Yarrowia lipolytica: one gene and its partner. The protein of the gene in region 1 binds, or shares a complex with, the protein of each later gene. Links are inferred from orthologs where the notes say so. Each region holds a gene or a part of one and is shown in the gene's direction. Other genes may lie near its edges.

Region 1 (10,139 bases):
TGTTCTGTAAAGGGAGCAAGGGCTGTGTTTCGTTGGCCGAAAACGCTGGTTTTGGAGGCGTCACCGGAGATGGGCTGCTGAGAGAGCTGTGGGAAAGGTGCCTGGAGGCTGTGGAAGACGTGTAAGCGGCGGTTTTGACCGACGGGTTGAGATAGGCGTAGGACCGCTGTTTGGAAAGGTTGGAGTTGAAGCTCACTCCACTGTCTCGAGCCGGTATAGGAGGCTGTTCTCTGGGCATTTTTGGCTCTAGACGGGTTAGAAAGAGGGAAGCGTCCAACTGTTGTGTGATGTGCAAGTTGGCAAGGTCCGTCCCTTTCAGAAAGAGACCGACTTGTTCGCCGTGGCACAAGCAAACAGGACCAGTCATTTGCCTCATTGTTCCTGAAAGGTCAGTGATCAGTCACTCAGCTAGACGCTGGAGAGACAGTTGACAAAACCAGTTGATAACCAGTTGATAACCAGTTGATAACCAGTTGATAACCAATTGATAACCAATTGACAACCAATTGACAAACCAACAGTGGTGTCCTTCGTCTACAAGCACCTGTCCAACTCAATCCGCTTGTCTCTTTACCAGCACCAACCTCCATACCCTTCTTCTGGTACATCATCTTGGGATGGGGTGGAGTGTATGGCCGCTTATTAATAGTGAGCCCCAAGTATATATCTCTTTTCAGGTGATCAACTGACGAGATGTACGAGTACGACGATACGAGTACGAATATAAGCGCGTATAACTGACCGACCAAACATGTGTACTTCTAGATAGTGAGTCAAAGCTGTGTATAGGACTTCAACAAGGAGGTCCAAGGTAATTTTTATAATATTTTTATTTTTATTTTTATTCTAATGATTCACCACAGCTATATACCAAGAAGCCGCTTATTGGAGATCAATGAATCATACATTTAATAATTGTTCGAGGGGCATGTCTGTTGGCTCGTCGTCGTTTCATCTTATCCTTGTCCTATTCGCGGTCTCATAGTAGTGAATCAAGACTACTAAATCAATAAATAAATACATACATAAATACATCAATAAATAAATCAATTAATCATATATTTCATCGTTGCATGTCTTATCCAAACTCGAGGTTGGTTTAGTTTGTTCATAAAGATCGTAGAAGGATGTGTAGTTCGGATAGGAATCATGAACAAGATTCGTGTGTATCGTGATGGAGTCTTTGCGACATCGGGGAGTTGAAGTTGGAGTAGCTCGGTGTATGGTTGTTATGTTGTTGGTGTTTTTTTTGTTGTTGTTGTTTTTTTTTTTTTTTATTCTAATGATTCTTTTTTTTTTTTTTATTATTTATTTCTAATCATTCATTACGTTGTTTTTTTTCACGATTTCCAGAACCGCTATGCAACCGACTCCAATTCTCATCAAGGGCGTCTGGTGTAGTTGGTTATCACATGCGCTTAGCATGCGCGAGGTCCCCGGTTCGATTCCGGTGTCGTCCACTTTTTACTTTTTACTTTTTTACCTGTTTGAATACCCAGCCGCTCGGTACAAGTACTCAATCCAGAGCTGTAATGTTTTTCTGCACCGTTCATCGCGCGCATCTCTCGTCCTGAGCCAAAAGCTTGATCTGTATTTTCAGTTGGCTCTGGAATTTTTTACGGAAATTTTTTACGTCTTAGTCTTGAATTTCACCTTGGACCTTGGAGGTCACTTCATGTCGCCAACTGTGTCGATTTCTCTGATTCTGCCACAGCTTTTTTCAGCTACTTGGGGCCTACAGGGGGCTTTGTTTTTTTAATGAATTTTTTTTGGTTTGTTTTTTCACTAATGATTCATTTCAAATTTATTTTTTCCGACCCGTCAAAATCCCAAACTTTTCGGCCAAATCACAATTCCTCCCGGTGGCCAAGCTGGTTTAAGGCGCGAGACTGTAATGGTATCATATTGTAATCTTGAGATCGGGCGTTCGACTCGCCCCCGGGAGATTTCTTTTTGCCAAATCTGTCGAAACTTGGTGATATTTTTCCAAAAAAGGTGGAGTCCTTGTTATGGTTATGAACCTTTCTGTTATCTCCAGTTATCTCCGGAAAGCACCATCTTGCAAAATGCAAACAAAATCGCATTTTCAAACATGAGATATAGTAATTAATGCTTCCGCTAAAGCAACAACGTTGATTTTTTAATCAAAAACCACCCAGATCATCTTCAAATATACAAGTAACATTGCTTAGTCGGGGCTGATAAGGTTGGCCAAATCAGGAAGACGTGAAAAAAGAAAACAGAGAAAAAGGAGAGAAAAAACGAGAAAAGGACGAGAGAAAAAACAAGAGAAAAAGCAAAAGAGAATATCATGGACGTCAATCAACTCGTGCAACATTGACGTGCAAAAAATGAGCTGTAGGGGAATTGAACCCCTGGCACCTGCTAACTACTCGATGGAAGGCAGATATGTTACCACTACACCAACAGCCCGGACGGTGTAGCTCCAAAATTGTCCTCTTCACTAGTATGAGATAGGAAAGTCACGTGACCATTAGAATAAATAAAGACGCGATAAAAGGCTGGCAGATGTGGGATTTCAATTGTTTCTTGACAGACGAATAGTTGTTTAAAGGGTAATTTTGGTATGTCAGTGTGCTTCTCTTGTCTACAGTTCGTCTATGTGTTTCTACAATATCATGTTGTTGTCGGAAGGGTGGCACCAATAGACACTTGGTAGGTACTCGTACTTCCTCAACTCAGACGAATTACAATCACTCGTGCTTGAATCTGGCAGATGTGTGGTTAGCAGCTGGAAAGATTCCAGTCTTGATTAGTTGCCATGACCGTGGCTCAAAATCTCCTATAGTCAAGAAGATGGCGATCGGTGAGCAACATGAGAAGGTGACGAAAAGCAAACATATGTCATTTGGCTTTTCATCATCTTCCTCTTGACATACAGCGCCATCACGGACTTGCTGGGGCTTGTCTGCTGGAGCTTCATGTCATGTCTGCTGGGGCTTCATGTCATGTCAGTCTCTAGGCTTCTTTCCAGGGTGTCCAAAATGCTTGAAAAGACATTGGTCGTTCTTTGGAACTGTGGTGAAATTCCAATACGCTTTCTGTTAAAATAATCTCATGTTGGTCGAAATTTTGGCTGCATTATTGAGACCATCACCAGAACCAGCACCAACCAGTACACTTGTAGTTGAGTTGACGAGGTTGCGGGGCACTTTTAATAAATAATTTAATTTAATTTAGTTTAATTTTTGGTGCTTTATGACGGAAGAAAACTAGCCCCCCAGTCTCCGCCGCAGGTCGTAGTCATACTCAAGGGGACAAAAATAAAAGCCGCAAGCCTCCAGAAACGGCAAAAAACAAGTGTGGACGAGACCGGGTTCGAACCGGTGACCTCAAGCATGCAAAGCCCACGCGCTACCACTGTGCTACACGCCCGCAACTTTAGGTTTTGTGAATTTTCACGTACCTGATCCAAAATCGGATTAGTCATAGAATTTAAAAAAAAAGAGTGGAAAAAATGAATAATTGGAAAAAAATGAATCATTGGAAAAAAAAGAAAAAAGGTGAATTTTAGAGGCGCTATTTAATCCAGGAGAGTATGTAACGAGAAATAGCTGATAAAATTCACTTTGAATAGTCCTCAGCACTCCTCCATTCTAGTCATGGATTCTCAATATAGCCATTAAATCCCCATTGTATGGTGTCACTGTACAGACTCATCCTATACAGAACATGAGGGAATTGATTTTATAGATTATGCAACAACTGGGTTGACATGGACGAGAGAGATTATGGGCCAAACCAGCCCGGAAACCACCGGCAAAAACACTAGACATGCCATGATCTCTCCGGTCGGTTTCCAGCCTATCATTTCCTCGCCATATCGTTTAGTCTGAACCGTTTCAGCCGTTGAGATCAGAGTTGACAAATAGGGTTGTTTTGCTGGCAATGTGCGAGGGCAGGTGTTTTGATTGGGGTGTGTTTGGAGGGCGGGTTTGGGGGCTATTTGAGGAGAAAAGGGGAGCGTGGGGTTCGTCATATGAGAGAGGGCGACCGGGAGCTGGGTTTGGCAGGTCTATCTTTCTTGTAGGTGCAGAATCAACGTCTGTAGCAGCACCTTTCTTTTTTACCGTGGGGAAATAAACTGTATATTTGGCTTTTGTTAAGAAGCCTAACTAAGTAGTTGAGCTGGGCAGAGATGGGTGTTGTTTGGCGGTGTTAGGCCGATGCCACCAATGATTGTAGCCCTCAAATCCATTCGAATCACTGTAAAAATGAAATCCTTCTTGGCGAAAGTGGTGCTGATATGATGCTCGGGTTGAATGTGTGAAAACCACAACAGCGCCACCAATATCGCCCAAAATGCAAATCCGCCACAACCACGGGATGCGCACAATTCTCAGCTCTCAAACGATACCACAGTGACCCCCAAAATACCCCATAATGACCCTCTCATCAACTACATAAACTGCATCCCCCACCCCCCCAATCTCCTCCCAAGTAGGCTTGTTGGTTACCCTACCGCATTAAAGCCACGCATACCGATAGTGAATATCTCCACCACTCTGCAACTACACACCTCCACTCTGCGGTAAGATGGACCAGATTCGAGACCAGCTGTCCAACGTGTCCCTGTACGACGTCAAGGCGTACGTGCGCAAGGCCCAGAATGCCGTGATGAACTTCACGCCCATCGAAGCCAAGGTTCGAGAGGCCACCAACAACGAGCCATGGGGAGCCTCCAGCACAGCCATGCAGGAGATTGCGGATGCCACCCACAACTACAACGAGTTCCACGACATCATGTCGATGATCTACCGACGGTTTACCGACAAGACGTCGGAGGAGTGGCGCCAGATCTACAAGGCTCTGCAGCTGTTGGACTACCTGGTCAAGCATGGTTCGGAGCGGGTCATTGACTACGCCCGATCCCACGTAGGAGTGATCCAGATGCTCAAGAACTTTCACTTCATCGACGCCAACGGCAAAGACCAGGGTATCAACGTGCGAAACCGGGCTAAGGAGCTCAACGAGCTGCTCAAGGATGTTGCTCGAATCCGGGCCGAGCGAAAAAAGGCCCGAGCACAAAAAAGCAAGACCAAGGGCTTCGGCGGCACCGGCAACAAGTACGGTGGCTTTGGTAATGACGCCGCAAACTCCGTCCAGCTGGGCGGTGGCGGAATGGGAGGAAGATCGCGGGCGGGCCGGTTTTCGACCTCAGGCTCGTCGTCCGGATTTGGAGCATACGGAGGAGGCCGTGTCTTTGGCGACGGAGGAGGCTTCGATGGCTCCGAATACGACGGACCCGGGTACGGCAACAGCGCCGAGGCCAGCGGATCGGGCGAGTTCAACGACAATGATTCGTTCGAGGAGTACGATGCCGGAGGAGACGCTGCCGAGTACGAGTCTGCCCCCCCTCCCGTGCCCTCCAAGACCGCAAAGTCCGACGATCCCTTTGGATTCGACTCTGCTCCTGCTGCTGCTTCCGCTGCTACTGGAGATGATGAGGACGAGTTTGACGACTTCCAGTCGGCCACTCCTGCCACCACTGCTGCCACCAGCGCTGCTGCTGCTGCTGCTCCTGCCACCAAGCCCGGACTCACCAACCTCGACGATCTGTTCAAGAACATCCCCACCAACACTGGTGCGAGCAACGGATCCAACAGCAACAACCTCATGGGTGGCAACATGAACAGCTCCTTCACTGCTGCTTCCACCACCTCGGGTCCCAACTACGCTGCCTTTTCCTCTTTCCAGAGCAGCTCTGGCGGCATGAGCTCTTCCACCCCTGCCCTGGGCGGCTCGGGTCTCGGTGGCGCGTCCACCCCCGCATCGGCCTCTTCCACCGGCCTGGGAGCCGCCTCCAAGCCTGCAGCTGCCAAGTCATCTGGCGGAGCAGACGCCTTCTCCAACCTGTGGAGCACCGCTTCCACAGGCGTTACCAAGGCCAAGAAGAACGAGCCCACAACCTCGTTGTCATCCATGGCCCAAAAGTCCAACGAGGAGGCTTTGTGGGGCGCTCCCGCTTCTTCGTCTTCTTCCACTCCTGCTCCTGCTTCTAAGCCTGCGGAGACCGGCAACCTTTTGGATCTGTAAATGTGGCCCATGTAGACATGTTAGACCAGTAATGAATAATGATTTGATGAATACGGAAATGGAAATGAGTGGCCGAAAAATGGCAAACATATAGACGGGAACCAAAGACATTGTAACGCAAGTGTGACTTTGTTCAGTGTGTGCATTCTACCCCAGATAGTTTAACAAAATGTTCAACTATATTACTCCGATCAGTAGATGAGAATGAGAGTGTACTGTACCAGACTAAAGCACTCAAAGTCATAGGCATCGATCACTAGCACACTACGTGTGTGCATACTTCATAACACTTAAATATATACCAAGCCTCTATATATGGCTGACGAGATTTTAGAATGAAGGACACTACTTTTGAGGAGCATCCAGAGGGTTGATGATAGCTCCGGGCTTGACAATGACTCGGGGCTTGATGAGCTTCTGGTGGGTAGTCTCCGTGGTCCACTGCTGGCCCATGGGCATCTTGAGGTAGGCCTCGTACTGCTCGACAGACTCGAAGGGATAGGGGACCGACTTGACCTGGTACTTGTCCGACTTTTTGTCCGACTTTTCCGAAATGATCACGTTCTTGAGATCTCGATCCTGACGCTTCTCGACGGCCACACCCTGGATCTTCTTGACAAACCGCTTCTTGGGCGCCTTCATGCCCTCTCCTCCCCAGCCTCCCCACCCGGGCAGGGTCATGTCGATTTCCTGATCTCCTTCGTCGGCGATTCGCTGTCTCTTTTCGGCCATGAACTCTTCCTCGACGATATCGTCTCCTGCAAAGGCCCGCTTGATCATATCCTGCTTGAAAGAGATACCCTTGTCAGTGTCGGCCTCTCGATCCTGAGTCACGAGATCAAGAGTATCGGAAGTGTCAATGAGAATGTTATCTTGCTTGCGGGCCTTTTTGCTCTTCGCACTCTCCACCACCCGGCTCTGATGCTTGGCCACCTTGTGGGCCAGCCGGTCTCGTGCAGAAGCCTCAGCCTCCATCACAGGCTTGACCTTGTTGCTCTTGTGGATGTTGGTTTCGGTGAACCAGGGGTTGGAGGCGTCGTCATCTGAATCAGAATCGTCGTCCTGTGCACCTCCTTCCTTCTTTTTGTCGCTCTTGACCACAGTAGTCACGTTGTCGTTATCTCTGTCGTCATTATCATCCTCATCATCATCAGACTGAAGATCAGCCTTTCGCTCAGAGTCAATCTTGACAGCAAGCACATCGGCAATAGACCGTTTGGTTCCGGGCGCGTACTTTCGTCGACCCTGGTTGAGAATCTCGTTGGCAGTGTCAACTCGACCTTCGTCCTCGTCGTCACTCTGCCCAAGTTCCCAGTTGGCCTTGGCTCGATCGAGCTCCTGGATTCGCTGCTGGTTCTCCGTCTTCTGACGAGCCTCAGCCTCTCGCATGAACTTCATGCCAAGCAGACCCTTGCCCAGATTAGCTCCCTCAGCAGGCTCATCAGGATCAACCAGAGCGTCTCTGTTCTGGGACAGAAACTGGTCGTCGCCCAGATTAGAGTCAATCTGCTCGTCGCCATCGTTGTCGTCCCGAGCAGACATCTTCTTTCGCAGACTTTCACCTCGTCGAAGCATCTCCTCCATCTCTCCTCGAGTCTCGGCATCCTTGGTCAGACCCTGCGATACCATTCGCTTGGCCCACTTGCCCTGGTTCTTGTGCTTGAGCGACATTCGCTCCTGAGCTCGCTTGATGTCGTGGTCCTCCTGGTCACTCTCCTCGTCGGACATCATGGCGTCTCGGAGCCGTTCTCGCTCTCGCTTGTGGATCTTTCGGTACGTTTTGGACTTGATCTTCTTGATTCGCCGCGCCTTTTGCTCCTCTCGGAACATTAGCTCTCGCATTCGTCGAAGCTCGTTTCGTCGGGCAGCTAGCTCCTCCATAGACATGTTTTTGGTGGCCAGCTCCTCAAACTTTTGTGCCTGCGACTCGTCGGCAAGAGCAGAAGTCTTGAGGATACCGGCAATCTTCTTCTCCATAGCACTCTCGGGGGCCAGCGCAGAAATACCGGTGTTGGGCAGCTGCTTGGCCTCCTCATCAGAGTCGTAGACGGGAAGACGGGGGAAAACCAGATGCTCAGCATCCTCGTCCTGGGCAATCAGGTCGTCGAACTTGGTCAGCTCCTCTCGCGTCAGATCAAGAGCTGCCTTACGTTCCACCTTGTCCTGGAGACGTTTACTGAGAGGCACAGCCACATGTTGGGGCTTGTTTTTGGACTTGCCGTCGGGCTTGCCAAGAAGAGACAGACTAGCAGCTGCCTTCTTGTCCACACCTGAAGTCAGGTCCGAAAGAGACAGCTTGCCATCATTGTTCTTTTTCGACACTGTCACGCCAAACTCATTTTCCTCTTGGTTGTTGTTCTCGTATCGTCGTCGTTTCTCGTACTCAGCATCCTCGTCGTTCTCGTACATGTTGGAAATGAGAGATCGAAGCTTGTCGGCCTTCTCCTCATCAAACTCGGTATCGATATCGGAAAAGACAGATCCGTCCGAGTCCTCCTCATCAGAGTCGTCGTCACCGTCATCAGAATCGTCGTCGTTATCAGAGTCGATCTCCTCTCCGTCAGAAACGTCCTCGGAATCCGCATCCTGTTCCTGCTCAGATCCTCCCTCCTCAGACTCATCATCTCCATGTGACTCGTCATCCTCCTCCTCCTGAAGATTGAAAGAAGTGGTAGCCTTGGTCTTTGAGCTCTTCTTTGCATCCTCCTTTTGGGCAGCCTTCTCACCGCTCTTCTTCTTGAGGTTCTCCTGCTGACGATCGTCCAGATCCCAGGCCTCGGAAAGATCCACAAACTCCTCCTCGTCCACAGAGTCGTACTCGTCCTCCATGGCCTTGAACTTGGCCTTGGCCTTGGACTTGACGCCGAAAGAGTCCAGAATCTCCTCGTCGCCGTCGTCAGAGCCAAACGCCTCGTCAGAGTCGATTTCCGAGTCGTCTTCCTCCTCCTCCTCATCGCCAGGCTGATACACCTTTCTAGTTCCGTCCTTGTTGAACCGAACAATACCGTCATCGTAAACATCGTCAATGTCGTGATCCTCGGAGTCGTCGGAGTACTCCTCCCCGTTCTTACGGGCCTTCTTTCGCTCCTCAGCCTCGGCGATTTCAAAGGCGTTCAACAGAGCATGCTTGCCTCGAGACTTGGGTACGGGCTTGGAGGGCTCGGTTTCGTTTTTGTACGACGTGGCTCGCTTGGACGAAAACACCTTGCCGGCGGTCGTGGTTCGCCCGGACCGGCTGCTTTTGCTTCGTTTTCCCATACTGTGTGGTTCTGAAAATGGATGGCAGAGATATATCGCTCCGTGCGTCTTACAATATTTTTTTAGACTTTGGCAAAACTTTATGCACGGTTTTTCTACACCAGTGGTGACTGGCGGGACTGGTACTACTTGTAGTAGAAGAGGACACACACTTTTAGTAGACAAGGCGGAGATTTTTTGAGATATTGATGAATGCTCAGAAGCCACCTTTTACAGACCATAAACTCGTTTACATGATAAGAATTGCCTATGGGAAGAAAAGGAGGGTGATAGTACTGTTGTTGCAAGGCTGGGCACTACACGCACACGATTCAATACGAAGTGGAGACAAGCCCCTTGGTGGCGATATACTTACTCAAAAGAAATGCCACATGATATTGTTTTGCTGCTACAGACATTTCTTTTCTTCCCGTGCCATCGGTTTTGGCGTTTCTGAACTCTGGATCGTTCCTCAAACAGTTGGTGATCCCAGACTACCCTCCTTCTGCGCCATGTTCATCTTAGCATATAAGTCTATCAAAACTATCCTATTTACTCCTCGTAAACAATTTCCTTTTCCCAAGAATCGTCATACTCCTCCTTCTTGTCCTCCTCAATCTCCAGATCGGAGGGCAGCTTGGCGTACATCTCCTGAATGTGCTGCACCACCTCTGGGTCGCAAGAAGCCTCGCCAAATTGCTTGGTTTGCTTCTCGTACAGCTTGGAGGCTCGCTGGAAGGCAGAAGCTGCGGCTACAGCGTGTGTAAGGTCCTCCTTGTCCTGCTCCCAGGCCGTGAAAGAGGCCAGGCCAGCCAGATAGAAACCCTCAATCTCCTCATCATTGA
Region 2 (10,029 bases), on another chromosome or scaffold:
ACATTTCAGCGGTGCTGCTGATCGTCCGCGATGGATGAGTAAGCTGTATTCCTAGCTTCAGGTGTGGTTATCCAAAATGAGGGTTGCTGAAGGAGACGCAGGAGACGTGATGACGAGGTTACAGAGACAGTGCAGTACCCCCCTTTAAAAAGATTCGAAGCTGTGTCAGACCTTGTTGCGGTGTTGCTGGAGTATACGCATACTTGTACTGCGCTCAATGATACTACTTCTTTCGTTGGCAATGGAGATACAACCAATTGACCAAGAAATAAGTGAGTGCAAGCACCTTCTACCCAAGTCCCGCACTTCACATCTCCATTACCTGTTCCAGGTTAGTCAGTATCAGCTTTGGCGGGAGTTAACGCAGCAATGGGCTCAGTAAGGTACTATCGAGGATACAACAGGTACAAGTATCTCGATATTGTCCGATTAATCTTCAATTTAAAGTCCCGATTCCCCCCTCCCTGTCGTTAGACTGATTTCAATTGGTCTCGTCCACACACAGCACCAGGCATTACTGTATAACGATTACAGAGTATGATATAGACGAGTTATGAGTATTGGTAAGAGACAATATGTTTATTTGAATCACTATTTGTTGTCTTGATGAGATTTTCTGTTCATAAAAAGTCTCTAGGGCTCAGTAGACACTCTCGTGGGTTTCAGCTCCACTTTCTGAACAGGGTCACAGAACACGTTCCAGAGCATATGAAGATATGAGCGTATTATTAATCGAATCCTCCATGCTGTTCAAATCCCGTTGCAAAGCTCTCTTCCTTGTAACATATCATTGGATCGCACAAGACATGGCATTTCACCAACACTCCACCTACAGCACAGAATCAGTTTCAGAAAAGCCACGACGATGGGCTCAATGACAGCAGAGCCTCCAGAGTCGTTATAGAGCACTATCGAACCTCCGTACCCTGCAATATACCCATATTGTCTTGTAAATATACATCCCCAGGTACTGTACATGACAAGTGCAACTACCCCGAACAGTACCTTCTGAAAGAGGATTGAAGCTATCCACTTCACTTTTAACAACAAACCCGCCTATCTCACCTCCACCACTTCACATACTAAACATCATCATTAACTAACACATCATTTGCTGTTTTCTAATCTGGACATGACCTTCCACGTCAACATCGAATCAGAATGCCGGTCCAAGACTCGGCCTATTTACACTCCGCCACTGGTTGATCTCCGCCTGACTTGGTTCGTTCAAAAGTCGTGTTTGATTCAACTAGACCTGTCCATCTTAGTTGAAATCGGAAGCCTGCAAGTTTCGAGTCATGGCAGGCAGGGCGATTCGGATTCCATCCAGATCCTTGGACATACACACCTGGCAGCCCAGACGCGAGGTCTCGGTGAGGCCAAATGCCAGATCCAGCATGTCGTTCTCATCATCATCAGGCTCCTCCAACTTGTCGTAGTACTCGGGGTCCACAATCACGTGGCAAGTGGAGCAGGCACACGATCCGCCACAAGCGCCCTCCATGTCCAGATTGTTGGCCTGTGCAATGTCCAGCAGATTGTCGCCCTCGCACGTGTCAACCTCAATCTGCTCACCGTCCTTGGTGATGAAGGTGACCTTGATTTCCTCGCCAGGCTTGGGCTTGTGCACATGACCGTGGAAAACGGGAGCCGAGGTCTGGAAAAGACGCGTGGCCGGGGCAACGGGTCGGAACGTCCGTGGAACGGCCCGGGAAACCTGCAAAACCTGTCGAGAGAACGTACGGAGCATTATCGGTGGCGTTGAAAAAATGTTGATTTGAATCTTCAAACTGTACACATTTTAAACTCTATCAGAGGAGCTGAGTGGGGGATTAGTCAGCGGTCGAGGGGAAATTGAAGACGTTGATATAATGCTGGATTGGGGTGTTGCTGTCAATGTGGTGAGTTGAATGGTGCAATATATATCGCTCTCGGGTACCTATATCAAGACTTGTGGGTGATATAGCGCCCGAATCCGTTGCTTGATAGGACTAATTGGTGATATCTGGAGCTTGCGGCATGGTGAGCACTCTAAAGACCTCCTCAGATCTCTCTCAGTAGCTTGCTAGCTTTTTTTTGCTTTATCAGAGTTGAAAAGGAGGCATTATGTCTCATTTGGCTGAGTTGGGTGCTTAGTCAGCTTGGTGAATACTGCTCCGATTTGATTTCTGATAGTTTATTTTTGCTCTATATCCGATTACAAGACGAACGCACTCTTTGTAGTGTAAATATAATACCTCTATCACGTCCTGACGGGGGTTTCTACCCAGCCAATAGAAACGCTTACAGTAAGAGAGAAGACTAAAAGGCCCTATAGGACGTCATTTACTGTACAACCAAAGCACGAGTTGCTTGGATATATAATGGGAGTCTTTTTCATGTAGCAGAATTCATCAAATAAAAATGGGCTTTGATCTGATCTTCCTCCGAATTACGAAAATACTATATATAATAACAAAAAACGGCTTTATTATCCTTTCCTGAGACACGCTTACATGTGGGGTCACCCACAGGTCGGTAGTAGGCGCATCTGGATGTGGTTGTGCACAGTACTGTATGTACAGTACGCAGTACGTTGGGGGATGTGTCGACAGGTTATGAGCTAGGGTGGGTGATTGAGTGATTGCGACATTTGTACGACACTTGTGTTTGAACTGAACTTGTACTTGATCTATACTTGACCTTCTAGTTGACTCTAACAGCACTATAAACTATTTTCGAATGCCCTGAACAAAAGCGGTTTGGTCACAAAGAATCAATCAAAAGCGCTCGATCTCTTATGGCCATTCTTCTCGCGGCGGATACAGATGCACAATTGTCAGTCTACTTGCCTTTCTCGTACAGTTCGTACTCGTACCTGACCGGACATGCACGGTTGTGGCGCCTTCTCACATACAAGGAACCACCGTATAGGGGGTCCATAAGCGACCCCTTCTCGTACCCAACTTGACCCTGCGTTCCCGTCGCATTTGCAGCCCGTATACATAGCTCCACGAAAACCAAACGGCTTTTGTCCTTGTCGCGCGTACAACTCCAGTTTCCGGCGTCTGCAGGTGTCGGCGCGCTTCCTGGAGGCATAGATGGCCGGAAAAAGAGCGCGCAGAGCTCACTGAGCAAATCCCGCAACTCTCAAAGCGGCTGCCATGTCTATGTGCCAAGGAGCGAGTCCCGGCTGCGTTTCTTTTGTGTCCAACCGGAATCTCCGAATCCACTCCGACTACCTGCGTCTGTCGAGTATAGGGCAAACGAAGCGGCTAAACGGTTTTCTGCCTTGTTGCTTCAAGTGTGTCTGTCGTCCAGCGGGATTTTGGTCACGCGCACAAGGTCTCGTGACCCCTTAAGACAGTTGTGGGCCTTCAGATACCGCTATGAAATGTTGTAGAAGACTGCATATACTGGGCATGATGATTGGCTGGATGAAAAGAGATCTGGAACTGTCATGCAGGTCCAAAGCAGATCGAAAAGAAAAAAAAAATTGAACAAATGAACTCTCTTTGCTTTATAATGTCTGTCTTGGTACTGTGAGCTCTCCTGTATGTGCTGTACATTTCTCCTCATCGTAGATTTCGCTCAGCCGTTAGTCCATGGTGACCATGTTCGGTTAACTAATGGTGTAAGTAAAGTTGTTTAATTACTTAGGTGAATTCAACTAAATATATATTGGCGAAACTGCACTCAAATTGTCCAAATTGAGAAAATGGAGTTTCATACACCGTGGGACCCGCTATGGAGCGCATCTTATGGCTCTCGGCCTTCTTATTATCACCCTCAAAAATCCTGAAAATCAGCCCGCGTAGGAATCGAACTGAGCCCTAGCCCCGCACACCGCTATCACGCACTATCCACTATCACGCATACTGTATTCTAGCCCCCGCCACGACATCATGGAAGCGAGCGAACTATACAAGAGCTACGAGACGGACTTTCTGCTGGCGCAATCCGAGATTGAGCAGAAGCTCGAGAGCATTTCGACGCTCGAGCGAGGTGAGTATGGGCGAGCCAAGGGCGCAACCTCGACAATGACGTGGTATTTGATCGACAAGGAATGACATGAACAAGTGGCATTCGCAATGTTTTCGACTGCTGATATCTGGCAGGTGACGTATTCTACCACGAGATTGCTGTTTGGCAGTCGTCGACAGATGCTGCCCAGCGGTGCATCTTTCACTATTGGTGACAAGAAACGCTGATTGAACGGCTATAGCCCTTTGGAATTCGGGTATTCTGTTATTCACGACTGTGAAATACCAGACAGTGAATCATGGTCCTGTCACCATCAACTTTTTCCTGCAGGCGCTCGATTGAACTTCAACCACTCCTGAAGAAGTTCATGGGGGACACAAGTAATTGCTTTCTGTTACTCCAGTGATACGGTCCGTTCTCATGTCTACACGGGTCTTAACTTGTCAATTTCCAGTACTAACACAGACGCCCGAACATCTGCCGTCAAGGCCGTTGAGCGAACCATTGGCGAGGCCTACGAAATTGTGAGTATCGAAGGGGGATATTTGGTCGATACAAACGACATACTGGTTAAAAATGGATCTGGTTTTTTGGACCGGTCTATTTAACAGTCTTAATGATCCGGCTGGACTACAGACACGACGCCCAACAATCTCCTCATCCCTACTAACTCAGCTTGACCAACTCTCGGTTGAAATCCAAAACATCCCCTCGTCTGCGCGAGCACCTTTGTCTGCCAACCTGCGACAGTATCGACAGTCAATCCAGTCTGCTAAGAAGCAGCTTGCCAACGTGGAGCAGGCTGGCGCTCGAAATGAGCTCTTTGGAGACAGATCGGCGGCCGGCGACGGCGACATTGCTCTCGACCAGCGACAGCAGCTTCTGTCTGGCCAGGAGTCCCTCGACCGAAGCTCGCAGCGAATCAGAGACTCGCAACGAGTGGCCAACGAAACTGAGTCCATTGGAGCCAACATTCTGACCGACCTGCGGGGCCAGCGGGAACAGATTCAAAACTCGAGAAACACATTGCTGGAGGCAGATGGCTACGTGGACAAGAGTATTCGGACTCTGCGGTCCATGACCCGTAGGATGGCTATGAACAAGGTGTTGACCTACCTGATCATTGCTGTGTTGGTGATTCTCATTCTGCTGGTTCTAGCCAGCAAGTTTTGGTAGACGGTAAATGACGTAATGTTGACTATAATTATTAATGAAAGGGTGTATCCAATGCAAGTTGGTGATGGTAGTGCGTTCTATGGCGGGTAGGAAGTGGAGAAGAACGGATACTGGTAGCTCTTCCAAGACGTAGAGTCAAGCAAACGCCAGTCTCGCTTCATTGACACTCACTCTGAGTAACCCTGATACTTGTACAGTTGCTGGCTTCTAAATCTTTCGAGAATGGTGGTTCCATACATGCTCTTGCTCTAGACCTTGCAGCAACAGTAAGAAGTTGGCTACAGTACTGCAGATAACACGTTCGAGACTTGGCAGTTGTTCGCGACTTTGTCGTCTAATGAATATTTGCTCTAGTATTGACACTTGCGCTATTCCGTCTTGGTCTAAATTAATGTGTATTTGAAATAGGACCTAATGAACAGCATGGAGCGGTCTAAAACCAAGCTAAGGACCATTGTTAGGAGATTGGAAAGTTGACTAAGGGGGAATAAGAGGTCCAATGACTTATGAGAGGTGTTTTCTTTCTTTACAAACAACCAATTGTGTGAGTTGTTGTGTCTGCACAGGCTGGCCAGTGGCGTGTCTCAGACAATCAGACAACCATAATCAAAGGCATGTTGGTTCAAACCTACGACTTTTAGTCAATACTGTAAATAAGCAAACAAATAAACAGCGGTGCTATGTGGACTGGGTTATACTGGTTATTGTTTGGCTGGTGATGTCAACGCAAGTAAGGACTTGAGCTTGTGGTGTGGAATATACAAGTATGTACTGTACTTGTTTTTCCATAACCGTCCCACAACAGCCAGAGTCGGTACAGCATCGAGGGAGTCAAGGTCTAGCTTGTAGAATGAACTCACAATCCATGGAGCCAGTTGAGTACTTGTAAAAGTACTTGCAAAGACCCAATGACTTGTGAAGGGTGCAATGTGAAGCTGACGGCTGCACTCGTTGTAATGGCTGCATGCGGGTCTCAATACGGGCTTTTTATGGCTTTTAATGCCGCCAAAATATTATCAGGGCTATACTTATAGTATATTATCGGCTCCTGTATTGCTTTTGGGAAGAGTGATAGGGATGGACATAGCGAGAGGGGACCGGATCAACCCAGTCCAGGACATAGAAGACAAATGGAACCACACCGACTGAGAGTCTCCACCTTCTGTATCCAAGAGCTTGCCGGTATATTCTCTTGGCACGTGACTGTCTTCGTCGAGATCATCTCCAACGTCATGTCCAAGCTTAACAAAAGTACTTCCAACTTAGTTATACTCAGGTGAGAGCATACCTAAAAAGCCATTAAAAAAGCAGAAAAAAAAAGCAGAAAAAAAAAAAAAGCAAGTCCATAAAATGCCTTTTCCGAGGGCTCCTGTACAGTTAGACACTCCAACAACGATGAGGGGGGGGGGGGGGGGGGGGGGAAAGAAGCCAAAAACAAAGGCCGAGGCCCATTCCATCCAACCTACCGACGATATTCCTGCCAAAAGTAACCCACAGAGCATTACCTCAGACAAGTACTGTAGTCCTTTAAGCTGCCCTGACCAATTCTCACTCAGCGAAGAGAGTTGATTGGTTCATAGAGAGGCTTGGTTGGCAGTTGCGGGCTCGTTGATTGACAGTTGGAAGTGAGATAGAGCTGAATAATAGCTGACAGGATCGTGTTAATAACTAACGATAACGATTGAAGTGTAGTGGATATTTGTGGTGTCCCTGTGGTGTCCCTGAGGTGGTTGGTTCGAATAACTGAGTCGGAGCACCATGATGAGCGCTACCAAGTCGTGTGTATCATGGAGTTGCCCGGAGCAGAGCAAGCTCTCAGAGGACACAAACTTGTTGTTTCGAGCTGTAGACAGAACTTGAACGTGGTTCTGGATGTGATAAGTATCGCACAGAATGTTGGGGGCACCGTCGACAAAAGTCAACGACTTAGGAAATCGTCTCTGTAGGGTATTGGATGACGTGGAGAGTCCTCAAAGAGACTCGTAGGGTGACTTATCCCCACCAAAATGGTCTGATATTCGTGACGACCTGTTCCAATCAATGATTTCTTGTGCCCGTTAGATATTCCCACCAACTGCTGTAGTTGCACATCAACTTCTGCAGTAGTTGACATTATGCACAAGTCAAGTATTGCTCCCAACTTCCGAGCCCAAAAGCCAACTACTCGCAACCATATTAGAAGACTTCTCTACAAAACTCGCCACCGGAAAAACAGCTCATGAAAAGCCACTATTGACCTTGAAAACCGCATCTGCGACCCAAAATCAGCTTCTGGGCCATGAAACCAACTCACACAGCCTCCTCCACCTTATACAAGACCCCTTGCCGAGGACTCAACGCTCCGTCACCGTCTCTGACGCATAGTATCATTGTGGAGGGTAGAAGAGGGTGTGTGAGAGTCATTCTAAGCAACAGATGCTGATGGTGACGAGTCAGTGAGGTCGACATGGTCGTTGCGAAAGCAATTGATAGTTGAAAGTACAGAGCATTCGTTATCCACGACTACACTGACATGACACAGACAGTCCATGATCACCCACACACTCAACACACCAGCAACAACACTCACCCGTGTTCCATTACTCGCCCAATTGAAGGCCGCCCTTCAGACCACACTCTTCACGTGGCGCGAACCTACACAGACAACCGAGCTGGGATCACATCCCACGAATTGATGACGGTGATGGCTGATCCATACAGAATCATCCTCTCTCTCGTCACAATCTCAGGCTACTTCCCATCCATCCATCCCACATATCACCCCAATCACAGATCACCCCGACCACAGATCACATCCATCACACCACACTAGATCATGTCAATACGCCAGATTCCTCCCCGCTCACTACCCGGCAGTCATTCGCCATAAATACAATAATATTACAATGCTTCAATAATGTGGACAATCTTGTCCACGACTTTTTCGAAAATCGAGTCGTCTCCTCGAACCACCACCAGCTTGCCCTGGCCTCTCAACTCCACTGCCGACGACTCCAACTCGGAGCCCTCAGCCTGCAGATAGATGAGAATGTCGGGAGCAGGAAGCCCTCGAAGCAAATTGGCACTGGACATCCATTCCTCGAGATACGACGAGGCCGAGGCCGAAGACACACTCTCAGAGACGGACGCTCGAGACATGAGTGGGTCATGTGAGACGGAGCCGTGGTGGTGGGGAGAATCACGTGAGATGGAGCCGCGCGACTCGTGGGCCAGCTCAGCCACACGCGTCTCGTGTTGGTGATGCGACGTCACGTGGGGATGCGCGTTGTGCACAGGGTCATGTGACACACTTTCACGTGTCGGGTCACGTGTGGCCGAGGTGGGCTCATCTCGCGAGAGCTCGTGCTCTGCGCCAGCATGAGGAGCAATCGCCACGCTAGGCGAGCGTCCACTTCCTCCTACGCTCGCCGGCGATCCACTCTCGGACTCCTCGGGGATCACAGAGGTGTCTCTCTTCCATCTCTCCATGGCTTCCGATTCGTGTTCTTCCGAGTATGTCGACGTGTGGCTTTGTCGCATCAAGTGCTCCTGAACAAACTTGTCGGCAATCGTCACGAGATAGCCATGTAGCAGGACAACGCCAGGCTGAGAAGTCTTGTGTTGCGCCGAATGGAAGTAGTTGGACACGAGCTGATGTAAACACGTGATATTCCACATGGCTGACGCGAATCCGTCGGTGATGAAGTCGGGTTTTTGGTTGATGATGCAGGCCAGCGAGTTGGCGGGGGTGGTTGAGGGGTTGGTCGAGGTTGTGGGGGTGTCTGACGCGCCTGCAATGTTGTGCAGGGTGACAAACGAGTACTTTGAGTCGGTCGGCGCGTTTTTGCTGTCAGCAGCCTCTGCACTCTTGACTTCGGTAGGAGTCTCAGCCTTGGCTTCGTTCTTATCGGCAACCTCAGCCTCTTTTCCTTTAGCTTCTGTGGGCTCCACCTTTGCAGGTTCAGTGGCGGCTGTGCCGGCAACGCTCGCATTGCTAAGCTTCTCCTTGACGCTGTCAACTACCTTTCTTCCCCATTCTCCTCCTCCCTCGATGGCCACAATCCTGCTTCTCTCACTCACCTGGCCGGGGAGAGGCTCACAGAGCATGCTGAGTGCGTCTGCCTTCTCGCGCATACTCATGGGACCTCCCTCTTCGGCCACGAGCGGACTGATGCGGCCAGAGGCAATCGCAATGGCCGACTTGTACCGCACGGACCGCCGCTGTTGCTGGGGCAAATGATGGGGGGCGAGCGGGTCGTGGTACGATGAGGTTCGGCGTCGCTTGGTAGCATGGTCCTCCTCGATTAACGCATGGGTGGGAGGAAGACGCGTTCGGTGGGTCAGCGAGTTGAGGCTGAGCGGCGAATGAAATGCGGGGGAGTATTGTAGGGGCTGTGATGACAGTTTGGGTGTGGTGTTCTCGAACTTGATGTGCTTGCCGGGCGGTTGGGAGGAAGACGACGCTGCCGAGGTGGGGGCAGTCGAGTTGGGTGGTCCATGGGGTCCTGAGACGGAGCCCTGGTGGCCCTGGCCGTGGGAGGCAGCCCGATCCCGGCCCTCCATCTCCAGCTCGTCTCTGGGCACGATTCTGGGCAACGCCGAGAACGTTTCTGGTGCTGAGTTGTGTCTAGTCTGGGCTGCGACGTGCTCAACGCTCGTGGGGTAGCTATACCGAGCAGCCGGGTGTGGATAATGGGGATGGAAGAGCGCTGCTTGTGGGGGAGGTGGCGGAGGAGGAGGATAGGGCATGCCTGAAGAGGCATCGAAAGATGAGTGCGAGCTCGAGATGCTGCTGAAGCTGCCGCTGCTGTTTCCACCAACACTTCCGCCCATGCTGCCAATGCTTCCGACGCTGCCGCTGCTTCCTCCGCTGCTGTGCCGGGGCGAGTATGTGTTGCCCGCACCCGCGCC

The links. The genes of interacting proteins can lie anywhere in the genome.
Region 2: the proteins of YALI1_D16609g (region 1) and YALI1_B03335g are in contact, whole or in part, in a crystal structure (PDB 3ONL), measured with the Saccharomyces cerevisiae proteins. The link is inferred for Yarrowia lipolytica from reciprocal best matches to the Saccharomyces cerevisiae genes ENT3 and VTI1. Residues at the interface, in NP_012659.1 of Saccharomyces cerevisiae: Asp53, Ser56, Gln57, Thr59, Tyr60, Asn61, Phe62, Glu64, Arg65, His100, Gly101, Ser102, Glu103, Arg104, Arg154, Arg157, Lys158, Arg161; in NP_013924.1 of Saccharomyces cerevisiae: Leu31, Asn35, Thr36, Leu38, Lys39, Glu42, Gln43, Gln45, Asp46, Asp50, Lys88, Gln92, Leu94, Val95, Asp96.

Annotation. Positions count from the first base shown.
Region 1 is NC_090773.1:1,656,345-1,666,483, forward strand, and holds YALI1_D16609g (uncharacterized protein), read left to right. Parts: upstream 1-4,557; coding exon 4,558-6,057; downstream 6,058-10,139. Other genes in the region: YALI1_D16567g (uncharacterized protein), read right to left, coding at 1-376; YALI1_D16656g (uncharacterized protein), read right to left, coding at 6,403-9,315; YALI1_D16672g (uncharacterized protein), read right to left, coding at 9,847-10,139. UniProt on the Saccharomyces cerevisiae protein: Involved in the recruitment of clathrin to the Golgi network and endosomes to form clathrin coated vesicles. Plays a role in the trafficking of clathrin between the Golgi network and endosomes.
Region 2 is NC_090771.1:329,686-339,714, forward strand, and holds YALI1_B03335g (uncharacterized protein), read left to right. Parts: upstream 1-3,884; coding exon 3,885-3,984; intron 3,985-4,428; coding exon 4,429-4,487; intron 4,488-4,638; coding exon 4,639-5,139; downstream 5,140-10,029. Other genes in the region: YALI1_B03299g (uncharacterized protein), read left to right, coding at 242-378, 448-541; YALI1_B03314g (uncharacterized protein), read right to left, coding at 1,265-1,750; YALI1_B03324g (uncharacterized protein), read left to right, coding at 2,780-2,937, 2,989-3,382; YALI1_B03404g (uncharacterized protein), read right to left, coding at 8,020-10,029. UniProt on the Saccharomyces cerevisiae protein: t-SNARE found in various SNARE complexes involved in multiple transport pathways. The composition of the t-SNARE complexes is specific for a limited number of v-SNAREs and therefore allows only the vesicles carrying the matching v-SNARE to fuse.